Linked DNA regions of Pelodiscus sinensis. The protein of the gene in region 2 binds, or shares a complex with, the protein of the main gene of each other region. Links are inferred from orthologs where the notes say so. Each region holds a gene or a part of one and is shown on either strand. Other genes may lie near its edges.

What was found.
Region 1: TAF3 (region 2) and TAF13 share a complex: the UniProt entries of both Homo sapiens proteins name them as parts of the TFIID basal transcription factor complex. The link is inferred for Pelodiscus sinensis from reciprocal best matches to the Homo sapiens genes TAF3 and TAF13.

The regions. Positions count from the first base shown.
Region 1 is NC_134711.1:148,140,726-148,156,621, forward strand, and holds TAF13 (transcription initiation factor TFIID subunit 13), read right to left. Parts: upstream 7,455-15,896; 5' UTR 7,372-7,454; coding exon 7,345-7,371; intron 5,604-7,344; coding exon 5,525-5,603; intron 5,148-5,524; coding exon 5,050-5,147; intron 3,076-5,049; coding exon 2,905-3,075; 3' UTR 2,306-2,904; downstream 1-2,305. UniProt on the Homo sapiens protein: The TFIID basal transcription factor complex plays a major role in the initiation of RNA polymerase II (Pol II)-dependent transcription.
Region 2 is NC_134711.1:9,749,898-9,765,718, forward strand, and holds the start of TAF3 (transcription initiation factor TFIID subunit 3), read left to right. Parts: upstream 1-8,368; 5' UTR 8,369-8,492; coding exon 8,493-8,658; intron 8,659-15,821. Other genes in the region: ATP5F1C (ATP synthase F(1) complex subunit gamma, mitochondrial), read left to right, coding at 988-1,084, 2,063-2,069. UniProt on the Homo sapiens protein: The TFIID basal transcription factor complex plays a major role in the initiation of RNA polymerase II (Pol II)-dependent transcription.

The DNA.
Region 1 (15,896 bases), about 140 Mb from region 2:
TATTAAACTGCCAATATAATGTGTATTAGTTTGAGCTTTATTTTTTGTACACATTGTGTGATGTTTAAATATGTGTGATTAAACTAAATGTTGATCTCATGATCTTGTTTAGCATGTGTTTATTATTAACCTTACTTATTTGTGGTCTACTTTTTCAGCTCCATATATATGACACTTATTTAGGGGGCTCCTTGAAATTCTTTCAAGTTTAAAAGGGTTCCATGGCCAAATAGAATTGGGAAACGCTGACTTAGAGGAACACTGGAGGTGTAAGGAATACCCTCCTATCATACAGTACCTGACACAAGAGAGTCCTGGGTCCACAACTGGAACTGCTAGGCACTCTAATACACATAAAATCTAGGTGCACATGCTTCTTTAAAACCCACCTTTACAATAATGCCTCCAAGAAAAACATAAGGCTGGGGTAGCTTTGCTTTTTCATGCTCAGTGCTACTTCTTAAATATCCCTAGCTTTTCCTGTGAACTTCAGCACAGATGTGCACTTCACATTGAATACAGCGCCATGCCCATTGGTCTTAAAGGTAGATTTACTTATAGGCTACGTCTAGACTGGCATGATTTTCCGGAAATGCTTTTAACAGAAAAGTTTTCTGTTAAAAGTATTTTCGGAAAAGAGCGTCTAGATTGGCACAGACGCTTTTCTGCAAAAGCACTTTTTGTGGAAAAGCGTCCGTGCCAATCTAGACGCGCTTTTCCGCAAAAAAGCCCCGAACGCCATTTTCGCGATCAGGGCTTTTTTGTGGAAAACAAATCTGGGCTGTCTACACTGGCCCTTTTGCACAAAAGTTTTGCGCAAAAGGACTTTTGCCCCAACAGGAGCAGCATAGTATTTCCACAAAAACACTGACAATCTTACATGAGATCGTCAGTGCTTTTGTGGAAATTCAAGTGGCCAGAGTAGACAGCTGGCAAGTTTTTCCGGGAAAGTGGCTGATTTTCCGGAAAAACTGGCCAGTCTAGACACAGTCATAGTGACATTTATTTGAAATAAAGACTGTTGAGGTATGGGAAGAGAGGGGCATGTTTTATTCAACAGATTTCTATTTAATGGCATCTGGCTTTCAGATTAACTACTCAACTCCTGAAACGGGCATAAAGGTTATTCCCTCCCCTCCCTCATTGTGATTTTATTTTCTTTACATACAAATAGAGATTGATAGGTTCTCTAGGCTGTTTACAAGGTTAAATACTAGGCAATAGGATTGAGTAATCCTGCAACATAATATAGCAAACCACTCTCAGATGAAGCTCTCATTTTTTGAAAATGTCAGTGGGGTAGCCATGTTAGTCTGTGGCACCTTAGACAGACACACACACACACACACACACACACACACAAAAATCATGAGCTTTTGTGGGTAAAATCCACTACTCATCTGATAAATTCATGATACTATATATGTTAGTGTCTAAGGTTTCCACAGGAGTGCTCGTTATTTCTTCTTAGCAGTGTGACTGCAGTGAGAATTTCAGGGGGAGACCATGCACTAGATTATAAATCCGTTTAACACCTTTCTTTTAGAAGATTTAATAGCACTTAAAAGCTATCATTATGCAATCACAATGTCACCAGTGGGCTAGAGGGGTAAATATGGTAATACCGACTCTTTCAAAAGAAATACCATCGGATTGTAGTATTTCTACTAAATACCAAGGGTTCGGTTTATGACCTTCTGCAGTAGAACTCAGTAAAACATACATAACAATTTGTGTCTTAAGAATGAAAGGCAAGTCAACCATGGTGGAATTCAAACCTAAGTATAAAAGACTCCCACTAGTATAATGTTTCAGACATTAAACCAGCTGTGAAACACCAGAGCAGTTAGATCTTCCACCATTACAAAGAACTATTCAATTAAAGTTATTAAAGGAAGTAATAGCATCATTAAGCTTTTTCTATTATGCTAGATTCTAGAAGGAAGCTGTAGCCTGCTGTTTATTCAGCCCCGATTGCTTCCTCTTGACCAATAAATGCCTGGAAATTCAGTCTTGTCTTTCTATAATACTTTGTGGCGGGAACTATTCGAGTGCAGTTAAATCTATAGGAGGTGAGCCTAGAGTCACAGCTAACTGTGAAGCTAAATCTAAGAAGTCAGCATCCTCTCTAATAGTTTTGGCAGCGTACAAAAAAAAGTTAAGCCATTTCCATGAAAACATTCATAGTAGATTAAGACCCTATTGTGGGCCGAAGACTACTGGACATACACCATTTCAGTGCAAATAAGTTATTCTTTATCATGTGCCTTGAATATATTTAAAACCAGACCCAAAACAAGAGGAGTGAGTGAACCATGAAAATATTTTATTGTTCATAAATACCCCTATAAAGAAAAGCAAATACCAATATTTTGAGTAACAACACTATAATCAACACCTTCTAGCACAAATAGATGCAGGCACTGACTGTTTTCAATTATTCCTTTGAAATCTACTTAAGGTGGATTAGGTGAAGGGTATCTGAAACCAATGAGAACTACAGCACAGATGCCAAGCACCTGTTCCCATTTAGCTTTCTAGTCATCTGGTATGTGACAGATTGCAAAGCTCAAAACTAGAGTTGCTACAGATATGCATGAAGCACTTCTAATTTGGGCTCCTCCTGTCTTTTCTTAAAATACTGTAAGCCTCCCCCCCCCCCAAAAAAAAAACCCAAACGTACATTAAGACAATACATACATTAAGAGACGTTTACAAAATGTTATAGGCTTGTTTGGCAATGCTAAAACCTAGGCAAACACTCCAGCACTGAGATCCATCCTAAAAGCCACGAAAACAAATAGAAGTCGGTAGGGAGTTAGTTTTTCCAGTATTGAAAAACATGCTAAAAATGTATAGGGATAAACATGGCTACAGGTTACCATCTCTGCACATACAAATGCATCAAGATCCATAGTTTGCTTCATCAAAGGCCTTCCTGGCCCGTTTCAGTTCTTCATTCATAGTCAACAGATCTTTTACTCTGGCAAACTTCCGTGGATCCTTGCGGATCAAAAAGACAATGTCCTCAACCTGCACACGACCCTGCCGTCCAATTGACATTGCCTTGTGAGTCTGTTAAAAAACATTTAAGTGATTTAATGAAAATGTATGGTCCCTTTTCCCTGTTATAAGTTACCTTACTGTTTTTAGAAACAGTGCCAGGGCACCGTCTAACAAGCAGTTTTACTTCTCACTTTTGAAGAGAAAACCATTAGTTTCAGAGATTGAAAGCCACCATCCTAGCTAGGCTATGGTCAGGAGAATCTCTCTAGGTGATCCATTTACACCGCAGGTGGGAAACCCTTTTTGGGCCAGGGGCCACTGACCAACAGAAAAAAAGTCAATTGGGGGCCACACATAAGTGAGAAGCAAAACAAAACCAAAAAACCCCAAATCCCTCACTGACATGGCCCCAACTGAAAAGGAGAAATCCCCCCCACATCCCTCTTGCACCAGAGCCCAGGGGTGTCCAGACTGGTAGATTTTGTGTGCTCCAGCCCCATGGGGGGACAACAGAGGGACTGGCACACCAACCATAGGCACCCAAGTACTGAGGAGGGGAGCCCCAAGCCTCAGGGGCCAGATACAGACAAGTTGGGGGCCATATCTGGCCCCTAAGCCTTAGGTTCCCCATCCCTGATTTACACAGTGGTGAAATCAGTCTTTAAGCAGCAATGTTTCCTGCCAGTTATTTAATATTTGAATTACCATACAGCTAGGAGCAAGATTCATGGATCAGGATCCATTGAGCTAGTCAGTAGGCATCCCGCTCCACAACTCTTAAATGAAATCTTATTTCCTGGCAACTGACATAAGTGCTATGTTTTAAGATACTTTGTCAAAATAATTAAAACATAAAATCCATAAGCCAAGCCTATCTCTGCATCCTGCATAGCTGCTTTGTGCCTTCACTGAGCATTGTGTGTGTATATAGTGAATTATAATCAAACTGGCAGGTGACATCAAAATCAGAGGAGCAGCAAGTGCACAGGAAAACAAGCCTAACCTGCAAAATGATATAGAGAGGAGAACATAAGAACGGCCGTACTGGGTCAGACTAAAGGTCCTTCTAGCCCAGTATCCTGTCTACCGACAGTGGCCAGCACCAGGTGCCCCAGAGAGGGTGGACCGAAGACAATGATCAAGCGATTTGTCTCCTGCCTTCTCTCTCCAGCCTCTGACAAACAGAGGCCAAGGACACCATTTTATCACCTGGCTAATAGCCTTTTATGGACCTAACCTCCATGAAATTATCTAGCTTCTCTTTAAACTCTGTTATAGTCCTAGCCTTCACAGCCTCCTCTGGCAAGGAGTTCCACAGGTTGACTACACGCTGTGTGAAGAAGAAGAAGAACTTTCTTTTATTCGTTTTAAACCTGCTACAACAGAAGAACAGCCATACTGGGTCAGACCAACTGTTCATCTAGGCCAGTATCCTGCCTGCCGACAGTGGCCAATACTAGTTGCCCCAGAGGGAGAGAACATGATCCCTTTCTGTGTCCCATTTCCAGAGGTAGTACTTAGAAAGCAGATGAAATTAAACAGAACAGTACATAAAACTCCTCTACCCCAGAAGAGGAATTACATAGTTCTGTTAAAAATGGAATTCAGGAATCCTTGGCTAAGGACCACAAGATGAATCTTCTATTACAATAGAAATGGAATCTAAAGTCCACGCAGAGCATGCAGGACACTGTTTCCCTTTACAAGTACCATATAGAAATGTTTTACACAGTGTTGAATAGACTAGATTATCAACCTTGGAAGGATGAAGGGTTAGTGACCACCAGAATGCAAATTAGATATTTAACCAGACAGGCACGAGACGACCTTTATTAATGGTTTAAACTTCATTACTTTTTTATTTTGCTTTTTAAGGGAAATAAACCAACCCTACTTTTGGGTTCTTTAAAAAACTAACTCAGTCCCTTCCACTGGAAGGACTTTCCTAACCATTGTCCAATTAGGAGTTCTTTTTAAATGGACTGATCTCTATAGTCATTACAGTCTAGAAACAAAGTAAGCAGATGTCTTAATAGAACCTACCATCTCTGTGATAAACTCTATCACCAGGTCTTCAAGAATATCCACTGACTCTGTGTAGGGATTCTGGTCATCTCCAAACCCATACATCATACATCTTACTGGGGAAACAGAAAACATGGTATCATTGAAAGAGCTCCCCATTATACAGGACACTTAGCAACATGCACTAAATTCTTCAACCAAACTAAGGGCTCATCTCCATCACATCAATCGATCCACTGGCAGTCATTATCGCATCTGCTTTGCCTTGGACCCAATAAATGGACTTCAGAAAGCTCTCCCATCCACTCCAGTGTAAGACTCTCACAGAACTCCTGTGGTCTGTCACTTTTACTGTCTTATTGTGATTTACAGTCATATCCTCATTTAAAATAGACTATAACCTCCATAGAAGCGAAGCCAAATGCAGTTGTCCGAGAGCCTAAGGTGAGGGTCCACCTCCTTACTGACCCAGACACATGGATGGCAAACTCACACTCTTTGGAGAACAGCCTCTTCCTCTTGCCCTGTCCACCATCTGGGCCTCCTCCAGCTTCTTCAGTGTCCTCTTCAAACTAGGGTGGTGCAGAATACCAGAGAGGGAACTCAGACATATAAGCATAGCTGACAAGCCCAATTAGTGACACAGCCAAGCCTAAGCCCAGCTCCCTATATTTCAATCTCCCCACAGGGATCTCCCACTCCACTCCATACCCCCAATGTGACTGTGGGGAATATGTCTGTGCCTAATTATGGATTCCATTTCAGTGTGTAAACTATTTGTACTTAAGCCCTGAAGAAGAGCTCTCCATGAAACTCAAAAGCTTGTACCTGGCCCAGAGAAAGCTGATACAAGAAAAAGTATTTCCAGTGTTGCCAACTCCTAAATTATGTCATAAATATCATGCAGTTTCAGACTTGCACATTGCTATTCTCTGGCCAAAAAAAACCAAACAAACAAACAAAAAAAACCTTCAAAAACAGACTGCAATTAATTCCCAAATTTGACATCCTGAACCAAGCCCTAAATAAACACATGGACGACGTCTACACTGGCATGATTTTCCAGAAATGCTTTTAACAGAAAAGTTTTCCGTTAAAGGCATTTTTGGAAAAGCGCGTCTAGATTTGCGGAAAAGCGTCCTGCCAATCTAGACGCGCTTTTCTGCAAAAAAAGCCCCAATGGCCATTTTCGCGATCGGGGCTTTTTTGCGGAAAATAGTACCGTGCTGTCTACACTGGCCCTTTTGCGCAAAAGTTTTTCTGAAAAAGACTTTTGCCCAAACGGGAGCAGCATAGTATTTCCGCAAAAGCACTGACAATCTTACATGAGATCATCAGTGTTTTTGCAGAAATTCAAGCAGCCAGAGATCATCAGTGCTTTTGCAGAAATTCAAGCAGCCAGTGTAGACAGCTGGCAAGTTTTTCCGGAAAAGCGATTGCTTTTCCGGAAAAAGTGGCCAGTTTAGACACAGCCATGGAGAAAGAATGTTAAAATGTGTTTTCTTTTGTAAACGTGTAACCTTTGACATTTTCAGCAGTTACATGTTTACACAGGGAGCTGGGAAGGAGGGAAGTAGCCAGCACCCTGCAAGCACTGCCTCCCACCCGCCCCAACTTCTGCTGCTGCCTCTGAGCAGCTGGCAGTTGACTTTAAGCCTTGTACACCCCTTGCAGGACAGGGCGGGAGGAGGCTTTGTGCACGCACTCCCCCCCCCCCAACTAACTTGGAGGAAAGGGGGAGGGGGGAGTGCACAGTCTCCTCCAACCACCAGGTGGTGGGCTCCTAAAGGGAACCACCAACTGTTCTGAACAGTTGATGATTGGGGATGGGGGGCTCTGGGGACAAAGACTTCACCCCCCCCCCCCCCAACACAACAATCAGGGTGTGTGTCCAGGGAAGCAGGGAAGTGTCCTGGCCCCGCCCCTTGCACCAGAGGCTCCGCCCCTTTCAGGGCAGCCCAAGGCCAATTCAAACATTTCTGAAGCGGCTCCAGGTCAAAAACTGTTGCCGGGCCTGTGCCGCAGGGCGCCCCCCCCCCACAGCGCGTTGTTCCTCCAGTAGCCCTGGCAGCTCAGCGGGGCTGCCTGCAGGCGCGAGGCAGGAGGCGCGAGGCGGCTCGGGGCCTGCCCTGCCTGGGCCGCTGCTGCAGCCCCTGCGCGTGGAGGGAAACGCTGGGGGAGGGGCTGAGGCCGGAAGGGACCACAGCACCAAAAGGGGGGGGGGGAACGGGAGGCTGAGACTTTTCCCCTGGCAGGAAGGGGTTGGGGCACAGGGGTTCCCCCCCCCCGCCGGGGGCTGGCAGCTGCACTCACCGGCGGGTCCTCCTCCTCGTCGGCCATGCTCGCAGCGGCACCTCGCTCCCCAAGCCCCGCCCACCTCAGCCTGAGCTGTGGGCGCCGCCATCTTGTTGTACGGCACCAGACTCGCCCCCGCCCGCTGCTTCCAACACCCCGCCCCGCTCGCCCGACTGGGTGCTGGTCTCTGCGGCCGCGGCGGGCAGGTGTGCGCAGCGCGTGGCGGTGCCTGTCCCCCCTGCAGCAGGGAGTGGGGGTGCAGCGGGGGGGGGGGGGAGGAGGGATGTGGGGGAACAGCTGTGAGGAGGGGGGGCTTACCTGGGGCACCCCCCCCTAGCAGCAGCTCCCCAAGGGGGGGGGGGGCGTTATCTCAGCTGGCTGCTGCCCGCAGGCACTTCCCCTGCAGCTCCTCCGGGCTGCGCTGGGAGACACACACATCCCCCCCGCTTCCCCTGCCCAGGAGCCAGAGCGACTTGCCTGCAGCTGGGTGGAGCGAGCTGGCCTCAGGAAACTGCTCTCGCTCCGCTGTGATACTTATGGGGGGGGGGGGATCCGCAGGGGGGCAAGCGGGGCTGGGGGAGAGAGCCTTCCTGGCTAGGAATATCCCTGCAGCCCGGGCACCGCAGGCCCGTACAACGGGCAGGGATTTGGGAGAGGGGCTGCTGGGGAACCTCTGTGGCCCAGGCAGGAGGGAGTAGGACCCAGCCCCCTAATGCGCCTGGTGTTTAGTGGTGGGGAGGGGGATAACTCCCATCCTCTGGGCAGTCTTCCCTGTAAGCTGGGTGGCTGCCCAGTAAAGATTCAAACGCTGCCCAGCTGACTAGCAGAGCACCCACAGCTGGCAGCGTGTGTTTTTATGGGCGGTGCACATCTTTACAATGACTTGGTGTACATAACAACATTAATTCTGCACTGGTGGAACAAAATAGAGGGAACATTGCCTCTGGGGAATGCAGCCCTCTGTTGCACTGAGGAAAGCTTGTACCTACATTTGCATCTGATTATTAATTAAGCCTCAGTGGAAGTTGCAGATACCACCAAACCTCATCTATCATAGGTGTTTGCTGACCCAAGAATGCCACAGTAAACAAAAACATTGCTCTTTAAAAGGGCCAAACCATATATTGTAAAAGTTTTAAAAGCACAAGGAAAAGCAGGTAAACACTTTTTATCCCAACCTCAAGAAGGAAAGAAGATAGTGTCAAAGTCAGACAGGACTCACAGATTTGGCAGACTGCTCTGTTTATTTCAGCAAAGCTTTGCTAAAATGCATGGAGAAAATGTGAGTGCCATACAAGGTTCAAACCTCTTGATTTATACAGTCAAAAGAAAGCCAAAATTAACAGGATTAAAAGGGGGGCAAAACTTCACATAATTAGTGTGAGGCTACTCAAGTACTCTTCATTTCAATATTAAGCACACAGCAATCTCCTGGCTATATCTCCCTGATTATCTGGAATTGTTTCCTGTCTAACACCTAATGTTTCTTTTCCTGTTAAACTCAGGCCCAAATTGGCTAGCACCTTGATCTGCATACCTACAATCAACATTAACATACTTTTCTTCTTCCTCTTAAAAAGACAAACAGAATTCCTTCAACTTATTCAATTATTACAGCACAATTCATATTTTTCTTACAGTATAATTCTTTCTACTTTCACAATAGAAAAGTACCCCACAAACACAAGGTTACACAAAATACAATAATTACACAGTCCAGTAGTTGACAGTGGGTGAGAAGCTCCTGTCTCTCAAACCTTTGATAATTTAAAGCCTCTGGTGAAAGACGAGGAGATCCCTCGCAGTGGTGACCCTCTACGATGCTCTCGACCTCAAGCCTTAGGCTCCTTCCGAGCCCTCAGTGAGGAACAGAGAGGCGATCCCTCGGAGACCCTGGGGATGGGTGTGGTGCAGGCAGGTGGTGATGATCCTTGTCTGGGGCCTTGCGCTCCTAGATGCAGGAATCACTGGTGGAGACTTGCCTGGTGCTGATCTTCAGGTGGCTTCTGCGCTTCAGCAGGAACCGATGATAGACAGCTACCTATCCCTAACACCTGGAAACAAAACCTGACTAGCTAACACGACGCTCCCGTCACGGACAAGTACCCGGCCGCTGGTGCAGTGAACCAACGCACTAATCCTAACGGACACACTCGATAAAATCTAGCTAACCCTAACTAACTATAGACTGACATAAACAGACAGGAGACAAGCAGGAACAAGGGAGGCGCGAACGAACACACACAACTGTTAGCCAGGCCTTCAAAGCACCCTTCTCATAAATATTCATGATCTTTATCTTTAAAATCATTGGACCCTGCACAGGAAAACAAGGGTCCCTGATTGGGTGCTTTGATAAACAAGTTGTAACAGCCTGGATCAGTGTGCTGCATGCAGCAGCACAGTGTGACATGTGCAGCTACTTGCGTGCCATGTGCAACACTCCTAGAAACTTCTATATTAACATGCCTAACAGCTACTACATATTCATAGCAAATCATACATATTAATGATTGCTTATACGTATTAATGAGGTGTCAAAAATGAGCTGGCTACACCTCTGCCCTGCAGACTGACTCCTTCAGTGGCGCTCAGAGGTTGTAAAGGGGGTGCCATATAAATGTCCCCTGGAATCTTCCCACCCCAAAACGGAGCTGTTCTTGGGTCGTGAGGGGTTCTGTCATGGACAGCCTCAGCTCTAGGGAAGAACCCTTCCCTTCTAGGGGCTCTCATGGGCATAGCACTTCAGCTGGGGGGATGGATTTGATACCCCAGAACTTTTCTTCTGCTCTCCGTAAAGGGGAGTGGGTGAAGGAGACCAAACTTTTAAAGCCATGTTTTACAGATGCTGCCACTCTATTGTAATGAAGCTATTGCATTATGTTCTGGTTCCTATCTGGTCCCGTGCTGGAGAGCTGAATGCTTTTAATGGGATGCCTGTTCTCCTGGGGCTGGGTACTTTATTTTTGCTGGTGCAATTACACAGGTGTTTCTTTGGCTGGTTAAAGAATGCTGTGAATTGTGTCCTTTGCTGCACATTTGGCGGTAGAAAGAGAGCAGGTGCCTCCTGAGGAGTATCAGGGACCAAGCCCAGATTAAGTCTCCTGAGAGGCCCCTAGGCTCTGGGGAGGGGCTAAAAATGAGGGGCTCAGCATGGGGGAGGGGTCAGGACTCTGAATGTGGTTTTGGGCTCAGGTAGAGCTGAGGATGAGGCTTTTGGGGTGTAGTAGCGGGCTCCAAGCTAGGGCTAAGTGGTTTGGAATGCAGGAGGGGGCTCAGAGCAAGCGGTAGGGGTACAGGATCTATAAGGGAGTTAGGGTATAGGAAGGGGCTCAGGTCTGGGGCAGGTGAATTGGGGTGTGGGGCACCTTCCTGGGCCTGTTCCCCTTTGGAAGTGCATACCCTGAAGATGGGAGGGGGCAGGTGGCTCTGCATGCTGCCCTGCAATTCCTCTCCAATGGAAGTTTGAGCGGCAGAGCCTGCAGATGAGGGAAGCACACAGATGGAGCTATCTGGCATTTACAACTCCAGCCCAGAGAGAACAGGAGGAAGAAAGGCAGCGTGCAGAGCTACATCCACTGTCCCAACCCGCATCCCCTGCCAGGCAGGGATAGAACACGGGCTTTTAGTGGCTGTAGCCCAGGCCAAGATGACCCTGCAAAAAGATCTGCATTTGTGGCAGCCTGGAGATCTTTTTGCAAGGCCCCCTTAACCCAGGGCTGCAGCCCCTAAAGCCTCTTTCTTAATTCAGCCTTTTTGGAGACAAGAACTTTTCTTCTCTACCAGGAAATAGGGGATTGTGGGGTGAAATCTGGTTTTAGGAATGGTCCCCCACTTAAAAATTTTTAAAAATGGGTATGTTTTTATTGAAGGAAAGGACCAAGGGATGTGTGAGGTTTGGGGGAGAAAGGGTCTTGATAAAGGGTGGATGTGATGGGCCATGTTTCTGTCAGTCTGTAAAAAGATTTAAACAAACCAAAACTGGGCTCAGTCAGAGAGTCATTTTCGCAAGCCCAAACTGAAGAATCTCAGAGATGGAGACCAATTCATATGGGGGACTTATTTAGCACCCACTATGCTGTTGTTTCCTCCATTCCTATTTCTGGATTAGGTTCATTCTCCCAACTGGGTACTCCATTAGCTGTTCTGTCTGACCTGTAAAATCAGTATTTTCTGTTTTCCTTTTGTAGGTTTCTTGGCTGACAGTGCTTTGTCTTGCAGCTTAAACAAGATGAAACAGAGCTCATCTTCCAGTGGTGAGGCCTCCCTGTTTCCCCTTAGAGTTCAGGACACAAGCAGAACCAGCTTACATATACCTCAAGCAATGTATGTGCTACTAATCACAAAGTACACTTATGCTGATGTAACTGAGAGGAGGAAGGTTGTGGTTATTTCTTGTGGCCTTGGTGTGAAGAGATTCATTGTTATGATGAATGGATTTGTAAAGAACAAATAATGTCAAACCAATCTGATAGCTTTCTTTGATAGGATAATGAGTCTTGTGGATAAGGGAGAAGCGTGGATGTGGTATACCTAGACTTTAGTAAGGTAAAGTTTGATATGGTCTCGCATGATAGTCTTATCAATAAACTAGGCAAATACAACTTAGATGGGGCTACTATAAGGAGGGTGCATAACTGGCTGGATAACCGTACTCAGAGGCTGTGTCTACACTGGCATGATCTCACGCAAAAGTGGCCGCTCTTTGCGCAAAATTTGCTGCCTGTCTACACTGGCCGTGTGTTCTTGCGCAAGTAAACTGACGTTCTAATGTGTGAAATCAGGGCTTCTTGTGCCAGAACTCTGACACTCCCGCTCAGGAATAAGCCCTTTTGCGCAACTGTTCTTGCGCAAGAGGCCAGTGTAGACAGGCAACATTAATTTCTTGCACAAAAAAGCCCCATGGTTAAAATGGCCATCAGAGCTTTCTTGCGCAAGAGAGTGTCTACACTGGCATGGATGCTCTTGAGCAAAAGCACATCTCTTGCGCAAAAGCACATGCCACTGTAGATGCTCTCTTCTGGAAGAGTTTTTGCAGAAGAACTATTCTGAAAAAGAGTTTTTGAGTGAGAACGCGCCAGTGTAGACGTAGCCAGTGAGTAGTTATTAATGGCACACGATCCTGCTGGAAAGGTATAACAAGTGGGATTCCGCAGGGGTCTGTTTTGGGACCGGCTCTGTTCAATATCTTCATCAACGATTTAGATATTGGCATAGAAAGTATGCTTATTAAGTTTGCAGATGATACCAAGCTGGGAGGAGTTGCAACTAATCTGGAGGATAGGGTCATAATCTAAAATGATCTGGACAAATTGGAGAAATGGTTTGAGATAAACAGGATGAAGTTTAAGACAAATGCAAAGTGCTCCACTTAGGAAGGAACAATCAGTTTCACACATACAGAATGGGAAGCGACTGTCTAGAAAGGAATACGGCAGAAAGGGATCTAGGGGTTATAGTGGACCACAAGCTGAATATGAGTCAGTAGTGTGATGCTGTTGCAAAAAAAGCAAACATGATTCTGGGATGCATTAACAGGTGTGTTGTGAGCAAGACATGAGAAGTCATTCTTCCGCTCTACTCTGTGCTAGTTAGGCCTCAGTTGGAGTATTGTGTCCAGTTCTGGGCACCGCATTTTAAGAAAGATATGGAGAAATTGGAGAGGGTCCAGAGAAGAGCAACAAGAATGATTAAAGGTCTAGAGAACATGACCTATGAAGAAAGGCTGAAAGAATTGGGTTTGTTTAGTTTAGAAAAGAGAAGATTGAGGGGGGACATGATAGCAGTTTTCAGGTATCTAAAAGGGTGTCTGTCATAAGGAGGAGGGAGAAAACTTGTTCATCTTGGCCTCTGAGGATAGAACAAGAAGCAATGGGCTTAAACTGAAGCAAGGGAGGTTTAGGTTGGACATTGGAAAAAAGTTCCTGTCAGGATGGTCAAACACTGGAATAAATTCCCCAGGGAGGTTGTGGAATCTCCATCTGTGGAGATATTTAAGAGTAGGTTAGATAAATGTCTATCAGGAATGGTCTAGACAGTATTTGGTCCTGCCATGAGGGCAGGGGACTGGACTCGATGACCTCTCGAGGTCCCTTCCAGTCCTAGTATTCTATGATCAGAGCCAGATTATGACACACTTAGGCCCCAGACCATAAAAATGAATTTAATATTTTTACAGAAAGGACATTAAATATATAACTACAAAAGCTTTATATTCTCACTGGAAAACAGGGAGAGTATATTATATTTATATATTTTTACTCCATGAATAAGGAAAATGATCCTTTTCATTTGTTAAATGAAAAAGTTTGTATTTCTCCAACAAAAGTAATCAGTTTATCCAGATTAAATATAAAAATATTTCCCAATGTTTATTCAGATTTACTTTTTGCTATGAAAATAAATTTTTGGCATTTTTCTTTTATAAAAAGGTTCCTGAAACTGACAGAGAAATATGAGTTCTGTTCCAGGCTCTATTACTGACTTTTGACTAGATAAGGCCAGTTCCAAAGATATTTATGTGCTAAAGATGCAGAGAACCACCTATGAGATTTTCAAAAAGCACCTAAGTATGCTGGGCATCTAACTTCCATTGAAACTGGAGGGGTTTGGGGAGGTTTACATACTTAGCGTGTATAGGCATCTAGTGGCAATTCTCAAAAGTGCCTTTCTACCTCTTTACCTAAATACCTTTAAAAATTTGGGCCCTACTCCTGTTCCCTAATTTTCCATCAGTAATACTTCCCGATTGCACAAGTGAGTATACATTCATTATCTTCTTTGAAGTGGGTTGAAATCCTTGAAAGGAAGATGCTAGAGAAATGAAAAGTAGTAACTATTCTTTTCCTACATATCTACCATGGATGTCATTTTAAAACCTCATATAGACTAATTTTCTCTTGTTTATTACAAGGCCAGTAACCAAATTCCTTGTAGGTAGTCTCAGCTAGTCTAATCCTAGCCTAGTTCGCCGGATTCCACCTCCCCACACCTAACCTTATTACAGCCCACCCAGGGGTTCCTGGACCCCAGTTGAGAATCACTGATCTAATGGATACAGGAGAGAAGTGTTGCTTCTTGCTTTTCTACATAGTTCTTGCTAAGTCATTCTGAACCCCACTCAGATTGGGGGCTGTGAGAGAGGCTGTCAGTGATAACAATGGCTCCTCTTAGAAAGCAAAGGAAGAAATGGGAAACCTTCAAAGAGTTACTTATTTTATTAAAGGTATTTAATAGTTAGGGGTATCTCTGGTAATGTGTGGTCCTCTCCCATTCCACACGGTTTTGCCATGCTGTTGTAGGTCAACTCTACCCAGGAACAGTTGCTTTGCCTTTTAAAACAGACTTGTGATGTCCTCTGCTACTTGTCAGCTCTTTAAACAGTTGCCTTTTTGATTATATTGATAATTTCTGGGGAGGGGAGATCGATAATGTTTACTAGTGAAGTTTGTCCTTCTGAGGCCTTGCTTTGATTCTCTTATAGGGAGAATTCTTCAGATTTGCCTGTATTCCTCTGCTGGCATGAGGTCCACTATCCCAGCAAGTTGTAGGACTTTATTGCTTGGTAAACTTAGTCCCAGGAACGCGTTGGTGACCCCTTAGGAAGCTGCAGAAGGAAAAAAAAAGTGCAACTAAACTGAAAGATCTATAGATGCATAAAAACCTAATTGAGACTGCAACCAACAAGTGCCTCAGTGAAGCTCTGACTGAATTATATGAATATCAGAAAAAGTGCAACACCTTCAGATTTACTCAGTTAAATTCACTGAATACATTTAATCTGTTTCAGTTGTAAATGTAGAACATCTTTTGATAAAAGATTATATAGCCAAACCATTTAAGGTGATTGTGTAAAACACTTTATCTGCTGTTTGTTTAAATTCCAGTTTCTATCCTAATGCAGCTTGAGAAATCACGAGCAAAAAGTGAATTATCTAGAAAATGGTAAATATTGTTTAATATATTAAATGTATACTTAGTCTGAAATTAAGATACATAATTGCTTAAATATGTATTCATTTTAGTGAAAAGGCTCTAGTTGTAGATTTACATTTTAATAGTGACAACCAATGACAGTCTATCTTCCTTTAGAAAGAAACTGAAGTACAAAAGGAAAAGTTGGTCAGCATAGATTTAAATAAAGGCTTTCCACTTAGTGTTTTTTTAGATTACCTGGATTTAAATTATTCAGCCTGTTCAGTTTTTCTAACATTTATGTCATTGTGAACCTTATAATGAAAGTGTTTCTCCTTGGCCTGAGTATGCAATTAAGGGACCATGTTCATATTCCTCAGATTCCAGGTTGCGGTGAGGACAGTAAGTGCAGAGAAAATGAAACTGCTTGATAATTTGTACCATGTACTGGAGATGAGGGCTTTTCATGTAGATTCCATAGAGGTAAGGCAGTGTTTTAAAGGGGCAGCATAGCTGAGCCGCAGATGTCGCATCAAAGGGGCAGATAGGAGGATCTAGCTGAAAGAGGCAGCAAAGGGGCAAGAATCTACTAGTTGGCTGACTTATCGGAGTATCCAGCTGATCCCTGGCTTCCAAGGGGCAGTGCAATGCAGAGC
Region 2 (15,821 bases):
ATGTGCTGGTAAGAACAAGGACAACTTGCTTATACAAGTACAGCTTTTCCCTTTTGAGAAGACCTTCCAGTATAGCTACCCATGAGGGGACACATTGCAACACAGCTATAGGAGACTTGATGGCAGATAGTGAGGTCTCATACTATAAATACTTGATTGTCTTAACACATTACATCACAGTGCATTTTCTAGTTGGAGATACTATAATTAAAGCTGACCTTCAGCTGACAAAATAAGTTATCAAAATACATCTTGGCATACAGTTACGGATGTTAAAGAGCAATTATTTGGTTAATTAGGAAGTCAATACAGTTTGTATCGACTACACAATTAGTCAATAAGGGGGCCCCTCTGCAGAGCTGTAGTGTGGCTGGCTCCTGGAGCTGGTGTGAACTGGGACTGCTCAATTCCGGCTCACACCAGGTCCAACAGTCCATTTGCGGCAGCCCGGGCTGGCCCTGGCCATGGCCAGGAGCTGCTCTGCCTGGGCTGCTGCAAACGGGCTCCTTCCAGAGCCGCCTCCCCTATCTCCTCCCCTTTTCACCCACCCCCGCCCGACTGATAGAGGCGACAGGGGAGGGCAGGCAGCACCATGGAGACCGTACTGGGAGGAACTGGCTTTTAAGCTGGCCCTCCCCAGCACCGACTCCTGCTCTTTTCCCCTCCCGCCCTCCTTGCTGCCTCTCATTCAGGGGCAGCAGGGTGGTGGAGAGAGGTGAGTAGCTGAGTACTCCACTTGACTACTCAATAAGCTTATGCTTATTGAGTAGTCGATTACTTGCTTACATCCTTACATGCAATACCTTTTATTTTTCCTTTCCTAGGTAGTTAACAATATTTAGTAAATTGCAATGGGTCACCCAGTTGTTGGTGTGAATTAACAATATTGTACCATGCTCCACCTAGAACCAAGGGAAATGTCTTAACTTTTTTCACTTTCAGATTCTACCCTCTAAATTGCACTTTTTTTTTTATTTTTATTTGTAGCTGAGATTATTGACAAATTGACCTTGACGTTCAACCGTACCCGTCAAGCCGTCATCACCAAGGAGCTTATTGAGATCATTTCTGGTGCTGCTGCTCTGTAAGTATCTGTGTAAATGTGTGACAAGGTTTTTTCCCCACTCATGTCGCTTGAATGTTCATACGTTTCCTGCTGTTTATATTGTAGTAACTGGGAGGGCAATGGAACAGTGGTTCTAAACTAATGATAAAAATGATGCACTGATAGTTGAAGAATTATTTATTCTGTTTAATAAATTCTAGTGACTGGTATGATGCTTAAAGCCTGCATTCAATTCAAATTTTGCCTCATCTGCTGGCCGTTGGCAAAGCTTCTGTAGGCATGAAGCTGCATTGTATTTATGGGAAATGGCTCTTTTCCCTGCCCCTCCTGACTCTCTATTGGATACCCATGTCTTCTCCATTCTGTGGGTGTAATTACCTGGGCCTTTTTACATCCACCCTTGGCTCATACACCCCCAAAGCTCTCTGTGATGCAGTGTAGATTCTTGGTTTGTGGCAGCCTACATGGTAGATTGGCCTTTCCTCTGAATGGACCAACCTGTTGTGTAGTGTAGAAGGTGAGGGATAACTTTTATTGCTTGGAACTTTAGCTTGTTCAATGTAAATATGCATTTTAATTAAATGGAACCAGTTAAGCTCTTGTGTATTTTGCTGACAAATACCGAACTTTGCCACTCTGCTAGGAACTGCAGAACACTGTATGCTATGGGTGATAAGAGGTGGTTGCGCTTAAACCCATATAATTGGTTTACTTGTATAGATGCAATATAAATTAATTCTAATCAGCAGATTAGACTTGTGTTCTAATTAAAGATATAGATCAATGCATTCATAACTAATGTATGTACAAAAATGGCTGGAAAACATCTTGTGCCACAATTGCATGTGTGCGCGTTTTTAATGAGCTGCTTATGTATTTAATTTGTCTGCTAAGTGACGCATCCTTGGTTAAATCGCAAGAATAACTTTTGCCTTAGTTTGCATGAATTGCTTCTTAACTTGCGTGTTCTGTTTTTTCCCATAACAATATTACCAGGGGATAATCGGAAAGCAAGTTTCAGCCAAAGCTAAGAGGTAACGTGATGAAGTAGAAACTAGATTCTTTCAAAAAATGTTTAGGCACATTTTTTCATTTAACCTTTCAGAATCATCAGTATCTGAACTGCAGCACTGAAATCTAATTTTTTAAGTGCCCTTTTCTAAACTTTTGGAGCAATCATTTGGGGAGTGATTAGTATGGACCCATCTGTAATTAGAGTGTAGTTAGCTACTGCCATAGAAAATTGTTTTTAAACCTTAGTATTACTGTGTGTTGCAACCTATGAAATAGGTTAATAATAGTGTGCCTTATGGTTCTAGAGAGCTTTAATGCATATAATCTGTGGGGAAATTAAAAGAACAGAAAGTGATCCATATGTCACACGATGTATCCAAATCACAGACTCTATTTATGGTTTAATTCAATACCCTTCCACCACTGAACTTGTTTTTAAACAAAAATCATCAGTTTTAAGTTATGGCACCACAAGCATACACATTTTACAGATACAGACAAAATACTGTTTTATTCCCTGAATAATTTACAGTAGTTAAAATGCAGGAATGCATAGATAGATAGATTAAAAGGGTGATGAAAGAAATGGTTTTAAAGAGGAATTGGGAGAACTGAGAAAACGTTTGAAGTGAGAATTGTTCAAAACTCATGGGGGAGCATGAAAAGACAATGGCGATAATTTAATATAAACACATAAAGATACTCTTGATATTTGTGTAAACTTGAAATATTTCTTGTATTCTTATAGGTGAAGAAAAAAGGAGCTATTCTAGAGAGTTGGTTTAACCTGCTTATATCCATATTGACAAAGCTGTTGGTCCATCATTCTGTGAAGAATTCATGGGGAAAACCCAAAATATTTGTAAATTATCTTACAATAAACCACTTACATGAAACAGATGTTCCTGTTTTTTTGTGTGTGAATATCTGGATCAAAGAGAATCAATTACTTTTTGAAATCAGCTGTTTACTGCTTGTATTCTGTTTGCTGCATGTAGTGTGTAGGTGGATTTTCCTTAGAGAAGCACAGGAAATGTGATTCAGAGAACAAATTATCTAATGTAATCTGGTATTCTCAGAGGACGTTCAATGCTTCATGTTTCAAAAGCAAGTATAAAGTCTGTGTAATGCATCTGTTCATTAGCCTAGTACAATAAGGGAACATGCACAAATTCATTTGCATTATATTATCCTACAATGTTTTAGGATTTGTTCTTTCCGATATACTGTCCCGTTGGTCTTGTATTCTAAAACATAGTTCATCGCAGGGATGGAAGCGACTAGTCGTTCTCTCCCCTTCCCTCCCCACCACTGCTGCTTCTATTAGAGAAAGGCAGCAAGACGGGGGAGCAGGTGACAGTGCTCGGAGGAGCCAGCTTAAAAGCCGGTACCTCCAGCACCATCTCCACAGGGGAAGTAGAGACACAGCGAGAAATGGCGCGAGCAGGGACTGAAGTAGTCTCCACTTGTGCCAGTTTTGCTGCAATTCTGCTTTTGAAATGTAGAAGAGTCCCGGTGGCACTCTTGTACATCTCAAAAGCTCTGCACTTGTGCATTTCAAAGGCTGAGGTGCCACAGGGAGCACGGGACCTACTACCCCGTGCTCCTTGCGGAGCTTCCGCTTTTTGAACTGTAGCAAGAGCCTGGTAGAGGCGCCCTTATCGACTAATTGAATAGTCGATGGAAATCCCATTGACTATTCGATTAAACTAAATTTAACATCCCTAGTACATCAGCCACTCGTACATTTTTATCAGTGGTGTTTTTTAATTAAAATACTGTCTAGAGCTGTGCATTCCTACATCTTATTAGTCAATAGTGTCAGTGTGAAAGGAGACTTGTTATTGTAGTAAGGAATTTTGAGAAGTGTAGAATGCACTGGGGGGGTAGGAGGTCTATATGTGTGGGTAGCATGAAAGAAGGAACAACAGAAAAGAAAAAAAAGAAGGAAACAGCATTGAAATGGTGTGAGAAGATCAGAAATAAATTACATTAGTACTGTTGATAGAAACAAAACCTTGAAGATCAGGATTGAATCTGGAGAAATAGACAGGAGAGTAAGCCCAAGAGACTTGAAGAGAAAGATGCTACTGAGTGTCAGAGGAAGAATTTAACTGAAATGTTTGGATAGACAAGAGAGGGACCAAGTGAGAAATTGGAAAGCCAGAGATGAACCAGTTTCAGTGATCATGCAATATGATTAATCTGTTCCAGATTAGATGTATTTTTTTAAATTAGTACTGAGGCTGCTGGTCATGTTTGATGTGTTACCAACAGTGACTTTGACTAATGATGCTCATAATTGGCAACTTTAACAAGTCCCAGGGAATTTTCTATGTGTGTTTTTTATAAAGCAGCCAAAATCTGGTGGGCATTTCAGTCATGTGAGGTGAGGAGTCCCTAACCCAATGGGCTTACAGTCTAAGTCCTCAATCCATTTACACTCAAGTGTAACTTTACTCATGAATAGTTAGCTCCTTTCTTTTTTTTCCCTCCCTAAAACCACTAGCTAATTGCCTGTTCCTTGCCCCTGACATAAGTTAGTTTAGATGTAAATACTTTCAAACTACAATCTAAAAGAAGAGTTTAGAAATCATTTGCTGCACTTGGATGAAGGGGGCAGGTGCAGCTGCTTAAATGGTTGGAAATCAATTTCAGGAGTATTCTGATAGATATTAGAGCATCACCTATCCTGTCTTTTTTCAAATACAGTAGGGTTTATGGGTAGGAAGAGATTTTTTGACTCCACAAATCTTAATATGAAAATGTTGCCACTATCCTACCTGTTCCAGTGCAGGAATTTATAAGGAAACTAAAACCAATGTTTTGCTTGTTTGTAACGATTCTATTGCACTACATTTATTACAAACATATACAATAATTAACTTTAAGAATCTTAATTATTCTGCAAGGTTGTGACATGATCAAATGTCTTTTGCTGTTCTGAAGGTTGTTTTACTCAAACCTAGTGATCAAAAATTTCCACTCTATTTTCTCTAGAAAGTGCCTACAAAGTTACACCTTAGTAAGATGAAAAATGGAAGTAGTCACTGGTCTGGTATTAGGTTGGTCCTTGCAATCCATTCTCAGTTAATGTATTCAGTTGGATTGCCTAGGATTCTAACCTGGCCCATTCTATTTCCCCTAACCACACATCCTGCTGACTCAAAACTTTGGTAGACAAACTGCCCTTGGTCAACAAATAAGGAAAATGAAAGAGTCCTCACTGATGTTTAACTGTAGAATGCTCTGAGAATTTACAGAATTTTAAAATGTTTGGTGCAGAATTACCCCAGGAGTGTTGGGTCAACCCAGTGACTGTACAGACACTGTGTCACTCACATTGACTAGTGCTGCCTTTCAGAAACCATCCCTCAATGCTCCACAGTGGCAGTTAAATGAGTGCAAGGACTCAAGCTGAAGATGCACGCAATGTAGGGGTGGATGTGTAAAACCACTTTAATTACTTGGTGGCTATATGTGGATGTAACAAAGGTCAGCTTAATTTTGTAGTGTAGAACCCATGTCCTAGTCAAATGCCATCCTGAATAACTGTTTGCTCTACATGCAATTCACTGTGCACCCTCTGTAGATGGAGATCAGCAACATGCACAGAAATGGGAAGGTTTTGAAGTACAAGGAACTTAGTGAGAAGTTGCCTAAGGCCAGGGTCTGGGATTGCTTCTTGAGTTTGATATTTTGGAGGAAAGGCCACTTCCTGGGTTAGACAGAAGTGCTGGCAGAAAAGCAGAGTGGATGGGGATCTGCTGCAAAGATGACTGTTACTGTAGCATGGAAGAGAAACTAAAAGTTATAAAGTATCCAGGAGAAGAATAGAAGACTAAAAAACAATAGAGAGAGACTGTTACAAGTAGCCCTCTCCTCACTTCAAGAGACACCAGACCCTCCCTTTCAGAAAAGGCACACATGTCAGAAATAGAGTGAATTTATAAAGGAATGGGGAGAAAATGGGCTTTTCTACAAAACCCTTTCCAGATTTCAGCATATAATGGGGCTCCTACCACTTTGGTGAAAGTTGAGTCAAGCCTAGCACATCTGTCACTGCATCTTCCCAATATTTGATCTAAAATGTATTCTTTATTTTGGCCCCTAACTCTTATGTACCACATAAAGGCCCCAGGCCTTCAAATTGAGCATGGGGCTTTGCTGCAAAGAAGGCTGGTGCAATTTTAAACTATATACTCAGTTACAGAGTACCGCATATCTTTGGTTACCTGTTAATCTCGCATTACATTCCAGAAAGCACACCACAACCATAATACAGTAAATATTCTGTTATATGCCACTTAATTAACTGGAAAGCTCAACTGGCATTTCTAATATCTGCTAACAAAAATATTCAGTCTAGTAACAGACTAGTATATGGCCACGCCCAGCACATTATGCAACCGCATATTCTACACTCTACTTTTATGCCAAAAAAGGCAGAAGACAAATAAGTAAGCTGATGCAGTTTCTAGGGCATGTCATTACCAGTTCAGCTCAATCTCCTACACTTTCTACAAACATCTACAATGATAATTGATATTGATGACCCTGAGGCACTACAAGATCCTGAAGTGCCTGCTGAATCATTGAAGATTAAATTACATTTTGTAGAGTTTTATATTAAGTGTATTTTTAATGAACTGGGATGTATGTCATGACCTGCCAATTGTCGTGTAGTGACACAAAATAACTTTCCCTGCATACACCTAAGTGCTTCAAGGAACCAACCACTCTGCAGTGCAATACATCAGGCTTGGTGAGTACCTGAATACTATTATACTTTATTCATTTTATTGTTTTCTAGTTCTTTGAAAAGTGGTATTCCATAGATAAAATAGAACTGTTTGTTAAACAGAATATTCAATTAACCAGCACCCTCCATTCCACCAGTATGCTGATAACAGAGCTTTTACTGTATTGTCAAACGGGGGGAGCATTCAAAGAATAGTAATAAAAATGACCAGAGGGCTTAATCTGAAAGGGGAAAAAATTAAAGGAAGGAGAGAAGGGACATAACAGAGAACCCCACTGAGTGCTGAATGAAGGGGAGGGAAGTCAAATCTTTTTTTCAGGAAAAGTTGGATTTGACAAACTATTTTTTTCTGAAAATGCATATGCTTTCCAAAGAATTTTTAAGTTTTTTAAAATAAAAATAGTATTTTTATTCTGAAATGCCTACAGTCTGCCTTACAAAAATTATAGTTCAAGTTCCCTGTGCTCCCCTTCTCCATAGGCCAGGCTCTGCATCTGAACATTTCCTAGGCCACCTCTTTCCAAGAGATCATAGGAGATGTACCCTGATGCATGAGCCCCAAAGAGACTGGGATTGCAAAGCATCTGATCTGTAACCCCCTCAGACACAACAACAGCATTTCTTAATCAAAGTGTTTCATATGTTTGAAGGGAGGGGGTAGCAGAAAAATTAAACCACTTGCTCTATTGCCCATAAGACAAATATAAACAAACCCCAAATGCCTCCCTTTTAAAAAAAGGCCATGCTTTTGGGGTCCAGACTAAAGACTTTTTAACCCTTAGGATTGCTACTACAGCTCCTCATACCATGCTGATACTGCACTGACTAACATCCCTCTTCTGCAGGCTTCTCTTACCACAAACTTGCACAAAGTTTCTCTGTGCATTGTCTTCTCTAGTTTGCATCAGTTTCTAGCAGGGCTGCAGGTCCCTCTTCACTCCCCTGTCACTGTCTGATCCTTACCAAACAGAGCACTGCAAATCTGGACGAAGATACTTGCGGCTCACTTTTGCAGATAGGGAGGCGGACACCCAGTTTTGTTTGTAGGACCCTGCAAATTTGAGGATATCCACTTTATATCCCCTGGTACTGTTTGCAGATGCAGGTACCAATGGTGTAGCCGGGCAGGGCTCTACCCATAGAGGTACAGAAGGGTAGCCGAGTTACTCTGTAGTTGAAGTTTTTCCAGTAACAACTAGTCTTGCAGCCCCTTAAAGACTATCAAAACACGTGGATGGTAGCATGAGCTTTCGTGGGCACGCACAACCCACCTCTTCCAACAAAGGTAGCAGCTGGTATTTTCCCAGTTGAGTCTCAGGCTGTTAATTCCCCTCCCCCTAATACTTTCCCGTGCGCCCGTTTTCCCCCTGCGCCTTCCCCTACTCTCCCTGGGTCTCTGTCTACCAGCTGAGCGATCCCCCCGCCCCGCCTGCACAGCCAGGCCGGCTCGGCCCCGCTGGAGGCCAGAGCAATCGATCGGCCGCCCGCCCCATCGACGCGCTCGGGGGTGGAGCGGCGCGGCCTGCCTGCTCCCGGCCGGCCGGGAGGCGCGACCCCAAGATGGCGGCGTTGGCGGCAGCGGGCGCCAGGGCCTGCGCGTGAGGGGGGCCATGGCGGGCTCCGGGCCCGGGCCGCGCTGAGCCGGCCGGGATGTGCGAGAGCTACTCGCGGTGTCTGCTGCGGGTGTCGGTGGCTCAGGTCTGCCAGGCGCTGGGCTGGGACTCGGTGCAGATCTCGGCCTGCGACCTCCTCACCGACGTGCTGCAGCGCTACCTGCAGGGGCTGGGCCGGGGCTGCCACCGCTACTGCGAGCTCTGTGAGTGCCGGGCCGGGGGCCGCCTCTGGCATTGCGGGGGAGGGGAGCGGGGGGCTGAGTCAGTGCGGGGCGGGGCCTCCCCTGCCGGGGCAGCCTGACCCTGCCACAGCAGAGGGGATGGGAGCCATGGAGACGGGGGCCAGGGCTGCCACTGCCCGTTCTGTGAGTGCAGGAGTGGGGGAGCCATGGAGATGGGGGCCGGGGCTGCCACTGCCCGTTCTGTGAGTGCAGGAGTGGGGGAGCCATGGAGACGGGGGCCGGGGCTGCCACTGCCCACTCTGTGAGTGCAGGAGTGGGGGAGCCATGGAGACGGGGGCCGGGGCTGCCACTGCCCATTCTGTGAGTGCAGGAGTGGGGGAGCCATGGAGATGGGGGGCCGGGACTGCCACTGCCCGCTCTGTGAGTGCAGGAGTGGGGGAGCCATGGAGATGGGGGGCCGGGGCTGCCACTGCTCACTCTGTGAGTGCAGGAGTGGGGGAGCCATGGAGATGGGGGGCCGGGGCTGCCACTGCCCACTCTGTGAGTGCAGGAGTGGGGGAGCCATGGAGATGGGGGGCCGGGGCTGCCACTGCCCACTCTGTGAGTGGGGGAGCCATGGAGACGGGGGCCAGGGCTGCCACTGCCCATTCTGTGAGTGCAGGAGTGGGGGAGCCATGGAGACGGGGGGCCGGGGCTGCCACTGCCCATTCTGTGAGTGCAGGAGTGGGGGAGCCATGGAGACGGGGGGCCGGGGCTGCCACTGCCCATTCTGTGAGTGCAGGAGTGGGGGAGCCATGGAGACGGGGGCCGGGGCTGCCACTGCCCACTCTGTGAGTGCAGGAGTGGGGGAGCCATGGAGATGGGGGGCCGGGGCTGCCACTGCCCACTCTGTGAGTGGGGGAGCCATGGAGACGGGGGCCAGGGCTGCCACTGCCCATACTGTGAGTGCAGGAGTGGGGGAGCCATGGAGATGGGGGGCTGGGGCTGCCACTGCCCATTCTGTGAGTGCAGGAGTGGGGGAGCCATGGAGACGGGGAGCCATGGAGACGGGGGCCGGGGCTGCCACTGCCCATTCTGTGAGTGGAGGAGTGGGGGAGCTATGGAGACGGAGGGCTGGGGCTGCCACTGCCCATTCTGTGAGTGCAGGAGTGGGGGAGCCATGGATGGAGGGGGCGGTGTCTGCTACTGTAAGCTCAGTGATTGCAGGGAAGAACATGGACGGGGTCTTGCTGGTCCAGGGCTGCTGGTGGCTTCACTGTGAGTGTTGGGTACGGGGCGAGTTGTGGGGACGGGGATGTAACTGCCTGCTCTGTGAGTGTAGAGGTAGCCAGACACAGTGGGACTACTGTTGCACATTCTGTGAGTGTAGCGAGGCTGAAGCTGTCACTGCCAGCTGAGTGCTGAGGACATTGTGAGAATTGGGGTTGGGCAAGAGCAACCACCCTGGTGAGTTCTGTGTATGCGAGGTTAGTGCAGGGTGAGGGATGGACCTTAACAAAGATGCTAATTACCTTAACCATTACAAAGATAGCTTCCTCACTTATCACCCCTGATTAACCATTCATCGACTCATAAATAGCTATTCCGTCCTTCCCTCTCCCTCACCCCACCTTCTGTACTAAATCTGATTTGTCAGTTTAATAATGTGTTCACTTTTTTCATTTTATTCCTTTGATATATATGGCCATGCCAATTCTCTTCCAGAATATGATCTGAGGAAGCATGGCTGTCATACATGACTGCTCTCTCTGAACATGGGGAGTCAAGGGGAATGGTGGGTCAGTTCGGGCTCTGGGAGTGTCACTGTAGTGTAAGCTCAGGGAGAGCTTCTGGGAGGCACAGTTGTAGTGGAGTCTGCAGAGGTGAGTAAAGATCCATGGTCACTTGGGGGCTGACAGTGCTAATGGGAGTTGAGGAGTGGGGGCATCACTGCTGCTTTGACTCCAGGGTCCATTGGGATTAGAGGGCTGAGACGCCAGGGATGACAACCTCCCTATAAACTGTAAACCCAGAAGGATGGGGGGGTATGTGGATATTGTCATGCTCTGAGGGTTTTTCTTGTTTGCCACCAAAAGTTCTCAGATTAAAAAAACAGAGGAGCCTTGGGACCATATGTTTTTTGGCTACCTTCAGGGGTTGGACTGAGCCTACCAATAGTCATGAGAAAAACTTTAGGTTCTTTTTTAGGAGGGAAAGGGAAGCGAGAGTGCATAGGGTGGTACCCATATGTATCACCAATGCAGGGATTTTACAAGTGCCACAATCATACCTCTAAGTTTCGCATATAAATGCTAAGATGAATGGTGCTGTATAAACATGTATAATAATTGTAAGGTAGAATCTAGGAGATCAGGGAGCATCCGACTGTGGAATAAAAGAGAGGACTTAGTTACCCACCTGAAGTTGGGTTGGACTTATTGTCAGTAGTCTGATCCATGTGAACTTGGTGTGAAGCAGATGTATTATGGGGGACAATATCTTTACACATGGACCAGAGTTGCCACTGTGAGAGTGCTGAGAAGCTTGAAAACAGAATTACCTTCCAGGGCTTAGCCTATATTTCCATAGCCACCTTGAGATTTGTGAGGCCGGGGGAGGGCTATATAATTAGGAGTTGGAGGCACTGTAATCTACCTTCTTATTTCAGCTGCATAAGGGGTGTGAAGCATTTACTGCGACTTGGGAACAGGGCATATTTTCTTGATGAATGTATGGAGGGGAAGGGAGCATTGTTTCTTCATTACAGAGGCACATGCTGTTATAAGTGGCGTATGTGGTATAATGTTTTTTTATATTCTCTGCTTCACGCTGATATTTTTCTCTCAGATGTGACTGTCAAAAGCACATCCTATTACTCAACAGAACTCTCACCTCCTGAAGTGTATTCAGACTTGGGGTTGCTTTTCACTGTGTAAAACTTCTACTGTACAAAACCAATTCAAGTTTGAAATAATAAACTAGATTCTTTTGTGGTTCTTGCATGATAAAATAAATTATTAATTAACTTCTAGTTGTAGAGTCTTTGTTATTGATATGTTAGCCGGAAACTAACCAGTTTGACCCTTGGATCAGTATGACTTAGCAGGACTGTCAGTTGAGTTGTTTATTTGGAGGGGGATGGGATCTTAGCACTTGTAAACTGAACAGATTGGATCTTCAGTAACTGAGACACAATAGTTGTATACTATGGTTCTACACTGAAAAATGACTGTAAAATCAAATAATAGAGTCCATATTTTCTCAGTTAACAAGCAAATGATGACTTTTCTGACAGTGCCAATTATTTTCCATTTGCTATATCACATCAAAAGATGTCTAAATATATTCAGTATTTTCCTAATGTTACTTTTCTAGGTAAGAATAGCTATAGTTGTCAGAGATACTGTGATTTCCAATGGGATGGGAGATGTATTACGAATTAATGCATGCGTGGTCAGGACTAGAGTTTAGAACAGTGGCTGTCAGTCTCAGCAGTCACAGCAAAAGTCAGAGGTCAGGAATAGAATCAAGAGTTAGAGCCAGAGTCAGGAATCTGGTAAGGAAAAAGCAGGTCTAGAGTGGACTCGAGCCAGGATATAGAAATAAGGCAAAAACAGGAATGATTGTAGCTATGGGTGAAAGCACTGAGCAGCCACTGGTGCAGGGCCACATTGGGCTTAGCTCCCAGCCCTGGCTCTTATTACATTTATAAAAGGCAGAGACGCAGCAGGGGACTGGGTTCAAGCCGGGAATCAGCTGTCCCAGGTCGCACCGTCCCAGATGCTGCAGCTCTGCAGTTAAGCAGAGGCACAGTATCTGGGACTGGGCATGAGCCAGGAATCATCTGGTTCCCAGCTCCTGCCCAGTCCCCCTCTGCACCTCTGCCCCCCTGTGGAGACGGTGCTGGGGGGAATCAGCTTTTAAGTCAGCTCCCTCCTGCACCGGCTTCTGCTCCCTCCTCTTGCTGACTCTTATAGAGGCAGCAAGGGAGGGAAGCAAGCATATGCTTATTGGGTCGTCAACTACTCGACTACAGGCAGTCCCCGAGTTACGCGGATCCGACTTATGTTGGATCCGCAGTTACGAATGGGGCTTTTCTTGCCCCGGAGGACTGGAGCGGCGGGACGCCCAGATGCGCTGCAATCCCGCCGCCCCCGTCCTCCGGGGTGAGAAAAGTTGCTCCACGTCTCCCTCGTCTGCTGGGGGGGAAACTCCCCCCCAGCAGACCAGGGAGAGGCGGAGCAAAGCCGCGGAGCACGCCCGCAGCGTGACAGCCCGGGCGCGCCTGGGCTGTCCCGCTGCGGGCATGCTCTAAGGCTTTGCTCCCCGTCTCCCTGCAGACCAGGGAGACGCAGAGCAAAGCCGCGGAGCACGCCCGCAGCGGGACAGCCCGGGCGCACCTGGGATGTCCCGCTGCAGGCGTGCTCCGCGGCTTTCCTCCCCGTCTCCCTGGTCAGCAGACCAGGGAGACAGAGCAAAGCCATGGAGGACACGGGCGGTCCCGCCACCCGCGTCTCCCTGGTTTGCTGGGGGGAGGGTGCAGCTAGTGCCCCTCTTTTCCCCCCTCCCCCCCCAGCAGACCAGGCTTTTCTTGCCTACGCCTGGGGTAGAGCTGCTGGGGCGCTGCCGGGTTGGTCCTGCAGCGCCGCTCCTTGGCACTACTGTACCAACCCGGCAGCACCCCAGCTGCTCTGCCCCAGGCGTCCTGATTCAGCGGCTGCTGGTCAGTTTCAGCAGTTGCTGAATCAGGACGCCTGGGGCAGAGCGGCTGGGGTGCTGCTGGGTTGCTCCAGTAGCGCCAAGGAGCGGCGCTACTGGAGCAACCCAGCAGCACCCCAGCTGCTCTGCCCCAGGCGTCCCCAAGTCAGCCACTGCTGAAACTGACCAGGGGCTGACTACAGGAAGCCAGAGGCAGAGTTGCTCTGCCCCGGGCTTCCTGGAATCAGCCGCTGATCAGTTTCAGCAGCAGCTGACTTGGGGACGCCTGGGTTTCTTAAGTTGAATCTGTATGTAAGTCAGAACTGGCGTCCAGATTCAGCCGCTGTTGAATCTGATCAATTTCAGCAGCGGCTGACGCCATTTCCGATTTACATACAGATTCAACTTAAGAACAAACCTATAGTCCCTATCTTGTACGTAACCCGGGGACTGCCTGTAGTTGCTTACATCCATAGTTCACATCCCTAATTATCGTAATTCCTAGGAGGTCTTGTCATGGACCAGGGCTCATTATGCTAGGTCCTGTACACTTACAGAATTGAGAGATGGTCCTGAAACAAGGATCTTACAATCTAATCATAAGACAAGATATAACAGATGGGGGAATACATGGAAACATTCAGACAACAGTGGTGATGGGCAGTGCAGCCTGTTATGAGGTCTTTTGTTGGTTTCCTAGCAAGGGAGACTTTTGAGGAATGATTTGAAGATAGCTTTGCAGTTGTTTATGGGGAGTGCCTCCCAAGAAGCAAGGGCAACATGGACGTGGGCATGAAGCATAATATATGGAGGCTGGTATTGTGTGCTAATTTGAGTCAAAAGAGTGGGGATTGACTATGAAAGGCCTTGAAAACAAAGAGAAGCAGTCTAAGAGAATAGAAAAAGGGTAGCAGGGAATGACACAGACAGAGCAATGGGCTAGGAAATTATCTTTGAGGAAATATTCTGTATAGATCTGAGCAGGAAAAATTGCATTTGTTAAGGGTACAGAGAAGTGTTGCAGTAATCAAGACGCAAGAGTTTAACAGATAAGTAAGACTGTATCTTTAAGATGTTATGCAAAAAGAATTTTCAAGAATTAGACAAAATCTACATGCAGGAACTGAAACCAGAGATGGTATACAGGTTGCAGACCTCATGTGTTTCATACTGTGAAAATGTTTGAGAACCCTATTAAAAAAACAAACAGAAAAACAAAAAAGCTTTCCATATAAATAAGGCTGCTTATTTTAGACTTTAACTGATAAAAACCTTCAATACAAAAATAAATAAAATCAAAATTGGTGGTTTGTCTAATAAACACTGAAAACAGTTACTCAGTTCATGCTGACATCACCCTTTTTCCAGTACAGTTTGTTTATATAGGAGATGTCCCTGATCCCTAATTTGTACCGAAGGGCTTGTCTACATGAAGCAGTAATATGTAATGGGGAGGTTGTGATTTCTTAAGCACATTAATCTATTGCATGTTAATTGGTCCATGAAACACTATTGATGCTCACTAAAGGTTCACTAGTTGGCTTTAATACCATGCTGTTTGAAGCAGTTCTATGTGTATATAGAAAGAGAGCCCCCAAAACTTGGTTTGGATGTTTAACAGCATTTTTAAAAACGTAAAAATACTGTATTCCAAAACAGTTTTTGTTGTGATTTAGGTGTCAGTGCAGAGGAAGCAGTACATGTGAGAATGGAGCAGTAGGTTTCTAAGTTGTTTCATCAGTAGGAACAAGAGTTACCTATGGAGAAACAGTTGCACAACAACATCAGAGTGTGCGTCTAGACAGCACCCTTCTGTTGGAATAAGCTACGCAATTTGCACTATGAAAATTGCGTAGCTTATTCTGAGTCTAGGTCGAAAGAGCTTATTTTGAAATTTGGCACTGTGTAGACCGTGCCAAATTTCAAAATAAGGCACTATTTCAACAAATCCCTTAACCCTCATGAAACCAGGGTTACAGAGATGCTGGAATAGTGCGCCCGCTATTTCGGGAAATAGAAAGTGTGTTTAAAGATGTGGTGTTGGTATTTTGGGATACTTCTGGTATCCCAAAATAGAGTCGCAGTCTAGATGTACTGTAAGTGACTTGCCCAGATATACTACAGAGAGTCTGGAAGCAAAGCTCTGATTCCTAATTTGATGTTTTAACTACAAAAAAGTTGACCTCTATGTTTGCAATAGTTATCATAACAGTGGTGTGTAAAAGAATGGTGTACATCAGAAGGCAGCTGCATCCCAGGATTTATGGGATGCAGCAGCCTTTCTGGATTTATGTAGGCATATTATATGAAGTAGCTTCAGTTGGATGGAAATAGGGATGTAAGAGTTTAACTAGTTAACCAATAAGCTGATGCTTATCAGTTCTGGTTAGTGGTTAAACTCTGGCTGGGGCCGGCAGGGGCTGGTGCCTACTACCCATGGGGCAGCCAGCAGCTTGCGGGGCCGCCAGTGGGTTAAAAAATATTGCCATTTAACTTTTTAACCAATT